Oryza sativa Japonica Group: one gene and its partner. The protein of the gene in region 1 interacts with the protein of each later gene in a pairwise test. Links are inferred from orthologs where the notes say so. Each region holds a gene or a part of one and is shown on either strand. Other genes may lie near its edges.

What was found.
Region 2: the proteins of cleavage stimulation factor subunit 77 (region 1) and cleavage stimulating factor 64 interact in binary tests that used the Arabidopsis thaliana proteins (3 or more experiments, as listed by UniProt). The link is inferred for Oryza sativa Japonica Group from reciprocal best matches to the Arabidopsis thaliana genes CSTF77 and CSTF64.

Annotation. Positions count from the first base shown.
Region 1 is NC_089046.1:24,233,962-24,238,382, reverse strand, and holds the start of cleavage stimulation factor subunit 77, read right to left. Parts: upstream 2,859-4,421; 5' UTR 2,671-2,858; intron 2,579-2,670; 5' UTR 2,533-2,578; coding exon 2,482-2,532; intron 2,355-2,481; coding exon 2,292-2,354; intron 2,160-2,291; coding exon 2,050-2,159; intron 1,657-2,049; coding exon 1,556-1,656; intron 1,061-1,555; coding exon 999-1,060; intron 905-998; coding exon 764-904; intron 489-763; coding exon 360-488; intron 1-359. UniProt on the Arabidopsis thaliana protein: One of the multiple factors required for polyadenylation and 3'-end cleavage of pre-mRNAs. Required for the targeted 3' processing of antisense transcripts that triggers transcriptional silencing of the corresponding sense gene.
Region 2 is NC_089045.1:3,842,816-3,847,269, reverse strand, and holds the start of cleavage stimulating factor 64, read right to left. Parts: upstream 2,966-4,454; 5' UTR 2,780-2,965; coding exon 2,734-2,779; intron 2,348-2,733; coding exon 2,269-2,347; intron 1,811-2,268; coding exon 1,636-1,810; intron 515-1,635; coding exon 481-514; intron 368-480; coding exon 129-367; intron 37-128; coding exon 1-36.

The DNA of each region.
Region 1 (4,421 bases):
TATGGTTTAAAGAAAATGTAGAATCTGCCAGCAATTGGAAAAGAAGCATCATTAAAATTCGAGAATGAAAATGTACTCAAAGAAAAACCTCTGTTATCATGTTTTTCTACAAAAATCACATTGTTCTGTTTTCAATCATCCACCATCAAACGACAACGAGAAAGTAGGAATAACATTTTATGCCAATTGTAATTTATGTGATTACAAAAGTACAGCCAACGCATGGAAAGTAAGTATGCAGGACACCCCCACCCCACCCCCCCCCCCCACCCCCCAAAAAAAAAAACTGTGGAGTTAACATATGTAGGTTCGATCAATGCCTGGTGTAAAGCAATGTTAGAACCTCACTTACTGATTACCTTGTAGGAGCCTGTGGGGGGAACTGCCAGCATGTTCCAATCAATATCATCAATGTATTTCTTACGCTCTCTATATACTGCTTTGGCACTGTTAAACTTTGGCTGATACTCCGATAACAAACCTTTTGCCTGGAATACAGATTGATAATCAACAACTCCATATGAATCAAATGTAACCCAGTTACATTGTTTTAGATTTGATAATATTAATTTTGAAAACAAAGTAAAAGATGAAACCTGCTAACAGAAATACTAGAACTATTGATACAATGAGGATGCACTGAATCTGCAAGTGTCATGTTCATGAAGAACTACAGCACCATATGTTTTACCAGACAGCGATTAGAGTCGTTTGCTAGCTAATTTTCACAAAGATCAAAGATTCAAATGGAAACTACAATTACCAAGGTGCGGCTAACAGAATTCTCAAAATTCTCATAATCCTTCCATAGCTGCTCCACATGATTAGTTGGAACTAAAATTGCCTTCTGATATACTTTCCGTACAGTAGTCATACGATGTGATTCTTCCTGCGGTGTCACAACCTGAAGAGTATGCAAAGAAATATTTACACAGAATAATAGAAGGGATGAATGTTAACATGGGGAAGGACAGGAAACAAGAAGGAAGAAAACAAACCGGCATTGACTTCAAGAAAGCAATATAATCCATCCAAACAGGGCCAGAAGCAACATCATTGCCTGGAAAGTTTAAGTGTCCAAGTTAAAGAAAAAACAAAGAGGGATTATCTATACTTATGGCACCACATTTTTCACCAAAAAACAGTCAAACCTTTCAGCCAGTATTTACACTGTAAATTCCATATCTTGCAATGTAATTTTCATATATTTACAGTGTAATTTTCAAATCTTACACTCTATATTTTTATCATTCCCTATATAAGAGAACTACGAAAAAGGTTGATCATCTATTTGAATCATTGAAAAAGGTACTAGTGCAAATTAACACATAAGTAGAAGGACAAACACAAAAGTCAATAAGAAAGAGAGATGAGAAATACAAGTATAGTTACATGTAATATAAAGGGTAGTTATCAATAATGCAGTGAAAAAAAAGTGACTGAAATCAAGCCAAATATGTGACGCCATATTTTTTTTAGCAAAATTATGTTAAAAAAATGTACTTAGGAAGTCACATCATCACCAGGCACTAGATATAATTAAGTGCCTACTTACCAACATAGTTCAGCATGAAATCAAAAGCCTTTTTGGTCTCTTCCAAACCATCAGAACCCCTTTTATCGTTCACTCTCCTGATAAAGTTGATGTAACAACGCCTGCAAATTACACCCAGACAAATAGGGAAATGTTAATGATGCACTTGAAAACATACTAATACTAGATCCAAGGGAATAGGCAAAACTAAGAGCAACAAAAACAAGGCAGACAATCACAAATGAGATCACATAACAGGGAACTAGTGGCTAATGAGACCATCAGGTTAAATGAGCAGAGACTGCTTAGGAATTTGATGATTTACATGCATGATTTGACACAGAAGTTCAATCCCAAACCACACATATCACGGTAGGAATATAGTTCAGTGACACAACCAGCGATAACAATGATAATTCACATAATGACAGTAAAGCAATTTATTCAACACATCCCACATATGCATACTACAACGTGTGCCTAATGTACAATCTCCAAATATGGCCTCCACTCACCAGAGATTAATCTGAAGGCAACTGAGCAAGCATCTGCTGAATATCTGCTTGGTGGCCTCATCATCCTTCGCGGACATGTAAGCTTCGACATACTGCTTCCAGTACTTCGCCTGCACATACACATATAGCAGGTGAAGCCAAGTGAAATGGCATCACTAGATGAACCAGACGAACCTATATATAGATATACGATGCAACCCCAAAGCAAGCAAAACATCGAGTCGAAATCGAACTGGACTCACGGCAGTGGGGAAAGTTGACAGCAGCTTCTCGTAGATGGGAGCGGCCTCGCCGATTGGGAGCAGCTGGAGACAAGGAAGGAGCGGAGCGGAGCGCAAGCGCGCAACACCGTGGTGAGCTCGTCAGTGCAACCCAGCTCAAGTGAACTCGGTCGCGAAGCGAGGCGAATCGGGGGGAGGGGGGAGAGCTCACCTGGGCCTCGTTGGCGAGGATCTCGGCGGCCTCGACATTGTAGATGTCCATCGCCTCCAACTCCGCCGCCGCCGCCGCCAGCGAGGGCGCCGGATTCCTGTTCACCGCAGAGCAATTCGGGTTTGGATTACCTCACCGCGAAGAAGAGGATTGGGAGAGCGGATTCGGAGCGAGCTAGGGCTTCCTCACCGGGGGAAAGGAGTCGGTCGGGATGGATAGGGGGGATCTCCACCCCACGCCAGTCCACTGTAGGGGAGGAGGAAGCGGAGGAGGACGGCGGCGGGAAGAACGGCGAGTTCACGGCGGCGGAGAGCTTACTCCGGCGGAAGGCGGCGCGAGCGAACGGAGAAATCAGGGGGCGCCGGAGTGATGTGTTTGGAAGAAATTTTAGATGAATTTTACTGAAATGTTTGGATTTCTTTTTTAAAAAAAATTCCAAGGACCAGCGTATCTGTAGCTCGAGGATACATACGTCGTATGGGTAGTTTTCATGTTATTAGAAAAATTATTTCTCAATACTTGGTCCATTACCCTTCCTCTTGTATTATATTTTTATTGAGAAAATTCGATCTATAACATAGAAAACATGTCGGTATCCAAAAAATAGCACACAAAATTCCCACCTTCGATCAGAAGTATATTCCACTTGTTTTTATTTTATCCGTTGTATTTCCGTCACAACTACAGGTCTAATCAAAGTTTTTCGCCATGAGTAGGGACAGAGAAAGATCAATTTGTCCATATTATTCTCTGCATTTACACATGACTAGGTTGGGCACTTGCGCTAGAGCACTTGGACTAGAGGCTGCGCACGCCATGAAAATAGCGACGACGGCAGGCTTGCGCGACCATGCGCCGCAACTGCTATTTCAATGTTGTTGACAACGATGGCTGGTGGTTGCTTGAAGATGGCGACTGGCTGAGGGTTAGGGAATACGAGTAGCTAGCAGCTTGTTTAAGCCGTCGAGCTCAACGCTGGCAGTGGCCGACTTGCTTGCAACGGCTGCTAGGGCTTATTGCTAGGTGAAGATGTGAGCATGACCAAAAATTGCAAGGACCATATACTCCTTAAAAACTAATCAATTTCAACTTCAATAACCACCATACACATGTAAGATAAAAACTTAAATTTTACAAATTGGACCTTGCCTATGCGTGGTGTCTCGGTCATGCATAAGAGACAAGAGGCAAGCGATGAACAGGGGAAGAGGTATGCAGTGAGGGACTGGAAGGAGGAGGAAGAAGAAATTGACCTAAGGGTTTTCTTTTTGGTCTTTTTAGTGGACGGAAGTGCTAAATTTTAGAAATCTCTAACAGAGCTGTGCTTTCAGGCGAAGAAACAAGTTTCTTGTGCTATTATTTTACTCGGACAATACCTATGCTACCAATCGAATTTTCTCATATTTATTTATTATTATATATTGCTCCCTTCATCCAGCAATATAAGATTTATAGCGTTTAAATTTTTACCTTTGTTGTTCAGCAGTTAATTGTAAAAAACATCAGTCAATTACATTAGCCATTGAATTTCGGGGAGGGGGTGGGGATTTAAGGGACGACTAGCAGTGGATGGCGATGCACTAGCGGTGCCGCCAGAACCCACCAATACCATGGGGCTGGAGGAGTGCGTTGGATCAATGTTGGAGACAGAGGTGATTCGTCGGAGTGGCTAGCAAGCGGTGGGCAGCTATGCACCAGCGGTGCCACTATAGCCCAACATTGCCATGGGGATAGAGGAGTGCGTTGAGTCGATGTTGGAGACGGAGACGATTCATCGGAGTGGCTAGTAGACGTGTGGCACATGAGCTGCCAGATACAGGGGGGATAGGTGAGGCGAGATAAGGCATATAAATTAAAGATGATGGTGGTGAAATTAGGGAGGCTCGTGGACATGAAAGCACCAAAGAGTATAAAAAATAATAGCCAAGCATCCGAGGGAA
Region 2 (4,454 bases), on another chromosome or scaffold:
TTTGTTGGCAACATCCTTATTTTGACTAGTTAGGGACTGCCATAAAAAAAATACATTAATAAACTGCAATTGGTACTGGGCCATTTCTAATATTTAAGAAACAATAGTGCTTAAGATTTCAAGATAACCTTCAACTCAGACATGATTTCATACAACTGGTGCTTTGACATTCTGGCCAAATAATGAGTAAGAGGGTCATTTCCAAGCCCATACTGGACAGGTAAACCATTTTGAACATTTGCAGTTTGAGATCCTCCAAGAATACCAGCCATCACAGATGCAGCATGAATAGCCGATGGAAGACCAACTGGCTGATGAAGACCTGTATCGCCTACAACCGGAGTCCCAGCTAATTGTTTCTGAGTATCTGCAGGATTCCATCAATAGATCAGTGTTAGCATCCACAAACATAAAATCAGCAGATTAGAAATAGTAAAGCATACACATAAACTTGGGAGTGATAAAGGAAATGATACCAACCAACACTGGATGCCATTCCAGGTCCTCCACGACCCTGAAAATACACAAACATATCCAGCATAAGTCAATAGAATCTCTAGCAAAACCAAATCGATCTCAAGAATCCTATAAATCAATAATATTCATTGTTGAAAGCATGCACTAACTACATTACCGTATTGAAGCTAGCTAATATCTAATACACAATGTTTATAGTAGTATATTGAAAGTTTTCTGCATATAGTGATATCATACAATACCACTGCATTATAATCTCCAGATAATTAGAACAAAAAACCACACTGACATGTACAACAATGTATAAATTGCGCTATTTTTCAAGTCACACATCAGTCAACTGTATCCAGCTGCGAACTTGTGATGCACATTTTCTTAGTGTGCTCATTGACATTTGGCAACAGAAGATTGGTCCACTTATATCAGCATTAGTCACTGGTATGGGATGGATTCAAAGGCTGGTGTTGATAGCATCTCAGAAGATTAAGAATATTTTTGTGCCAGTGCAGTAGAAAACCAAAAGAAACTGTAAACCCTTCTGCACATACATAAAGGTCTCATTTGGAATTTCCTGGTTCATGCGGAAATTGAATTATTTCTTTGTGAAATTCCCTGCATATCAAATGGTTCTAAAAATTCAATTGGGTACTGTTTCAGCACTCAATTCTACTAGCAGTTTCATCTTTTTGCTCAAGTATATCGCATAAGGTGAAACTACAGATGCATCTTTCCTAGTGACTACTATTCTTCTTTTGCTATTTATTCAGAACACTTCTGGCGAAGCTCTTCCAATGATGATATATGGTTTTGCTAGGCAACAAACAGCCTTTGGCAGACGGATTCCATAAATAAAAGGAGATGTGACAACAGAGATATTCTTTTTTATAAATGGAGATGCCAAAGATAATGCGCCATACCAGAATGATAATTTCACGAGATAAATTGGCAGATATAGCAGGTGTGTGTATGTACAGCCAGGCAGCTGTACATACATACACATGCTGCAAACAAAAGTGAAACATACGACACATGGTGGTTGGAGAAAACACTACTATTATCATTCATGGGAACCAAAGCAATACAAGCTCTCATCTTAACATAGGAATTGGAAGTTGAGAAATGTGTTTCTTCTACAGTAAGAAACTGAGGATCTTCGACCTTTTCTCTGTTTCTGTCAGCATTCCTCCCATTTTCAGCAAAATCAACACGTAACTGACGGCCATTAATTTCATAACCTTGAAGGTTCCGGCGTGCACTTAGAGCAGTCTCCTCATCCTTGTACTCACAAAACCCATAACCCTTTGGCTTCCCTGTTTCTTTATCAATAACCAATCTGCAAAGCACCAAATGTTTAAGAGCTTATGAGTAGTCGAAACTATCTTACCACGTGTTACCAGATTAAAAAACACTTGCAGCTGCTAGGAAACTTGGCACATTCCTATGTTCAGAGTTATCAGCGATATTAGTAGCACCATGTAGTTCAGCCATTAAACTTCAATTAGCGATTATTTTTAAATGTGCACGGTATAATGTTATTTCATAGAAAAAAAAGTGTGCCAAGCATTATGTCCATACCAGATACCACTGACCCCTGAACTCCTTATTATGTAAGGAGAATAAAAGGCATGAAGTTATTTTTAAAAACAGACACTAGCAAAACTTTAGTATCCAACACACGTCTGTCTGAATCAAATCCAAATATTTGCAGAACCTATTTAGCTTAACTCTAACCATCCTAAACACCAATTCCACACACACACAATTTTGAGGGTTTGTGCAGTACAATTAAACCTGAATGAGACCACAGGGCCGACTTCCTCGCAAATCTGCACGAGCTGCTCCTCCGTCGCATCGTAAGGAATGTTCCCGACTGCAACCAAAATTCAACAACCAACAAACGCATCCGTCAATCGAAAGGGCACGAGCAGTAAACCCTAGACCAAACCAAATTGGTCAAACACTAAACCCTCCCCAAATCTAGCACCGCAACCGAGCAAAACGCGCTTCATTTTCCTCCTCACTCTCATCGACCCACACCCAAACGAAGAACGAACAATCCCACTACGGATCGAGGAGAGCGAGGCGGCTAGGCTAGAAATCAGCCGAGGCCCAAATCGACGGGAAGGAGCCGAGCCGCCTTTGCTCTCTCTCTACTCCGCACCCCACGCACACCGTGAGCTCCCTCCCCGGAGCTCAGCTCAGGATCGAACCATGCCGAAGACGGCGAGAGGGAAGCGGGGGGTAGGGGGCCCGTACCGAAGACGCAGCGGTTCTGGGCGCCGGCGGGGGCCGCGGCGGCCATGCTCGTCAGCAGAGGTCGCCGGCGGCAGGGCGGCGGAGGCGGGGCGGCAGCATCGGCGGCGCGGCGTTCGGGGTGGCGACGCGGGAGATCGAGGTGGGGGCGCGGCCGCGGCGGCGGCGGCGAGTTTTCTTTTTCTTTTTCTTTTCTTTTTTTTTTTGCTATTTCCGGCGTCGTTCGGATATGAGTGCAGCTTGCGGGGTGTGGTGGTCGTTTATAGTAAGGGGAGAAGACCTTTTCCGTGTCTGTGTCTAGAGTTTTGATTGGTATTTTAGGCGAATTTAATTTGGCGGCATGTTTGGCCCATTAACTTTGTAAAATTTGGTCATCATCAGTGTTTTTTTTTTGGTAGAGAGGTTTGTTTGGATTGGTACAAAACGAATTTGGAGTTAAATTTGTCAATTTAAGTTAGGGCTTGTTTAGATCTCCTGGTAAAATTTTATACCTATCACATCGAATGTATAGACACATGTATGAAGTATTAAATATAAAAAATAACTAATTACACAGATTGCGTATAAATTGTGAGACGAATTTTTAAACCTAATTGTGCCATAATTTTTAAGCCTTAGCTTGTTTGCTTGGTACCAAAATTTCTTGCCTAGGGCCGAGTTTAGTTCCAAACTTTTTTTTCAAACTTCTAACTTTTCCATCACATCAAAACTTTCCTACACACAAACTTCTAACTTTTCCATCACATTGTTTCAATTTCAACCAAACTTCTAATTTTGGTGTGAACTAAACACACCCTAGATTGGCACCGTTAGTGCTAAACTAAGCCAAGCCAAAATATGAAAATAATAGTAATAATTGTTTAAGATATCATTGTAGTATCCAATATACATGTTTGTCTTTCTTGTTATTTTCAAATAAAAATTATTGAATATAGCTACATGTACATGAGAGTAGTTTTCACTACAACACCCATGGCATAAATGCTGGTCGCAGAACCTTGGGTGTGACAAGTTGCGGCAACCAAACCAGATACTCTTGGTTTCATGTGGGTTCATGATGCCAGCATCCACTTCATGAATCAAATTCAATGTGAATAGTAGTAGTTTATAACAATTGCTCATCAGTACGAGCAAACGTGTAATTCTATGTACATATGAAAGATTGTGTCAAATACTCAAATATGATATATGATATGATGATTAGAGAGTGAAAATAATTTTATTTTGCTTTTTGGGTTTTCTTATAATCTCGTGTATATACCTAATATTATGAAAATAATCTAGTGTACTTCCTTCAAAATTAGGATGGAAACCACTTGTCCACTACAACAACTAACACTAAAGCAACGGTAAGTTTAACTTTAGGGCTTAATTAGATTGATGCCATTTCAAACCATATCATTTTTTGGTAGAGTTAACAAACATGTGCATCTATTTAATTTTTTGCCAAACTGTACTAAATACATAAGAAATCCTGCCAAAATTTTGGCAATATGACATATTTTGGTATTGTCAAAATTTAGTAAAGTTTATTTTAGTTATAATCTGAACAGCCCTCAACATCCAGTTGAACTCAGAATTTGTAACTGATTAAGCGCACACAAAACGTACCACCAAAATTCTACTAGTACATTTCACACCTAACGGGCAATAATGCAACCAGTGCCTCCTCGTTGCCAACCCAAATCTCCCTGACAGAACACGCCTTGAACTCACCTAATGAT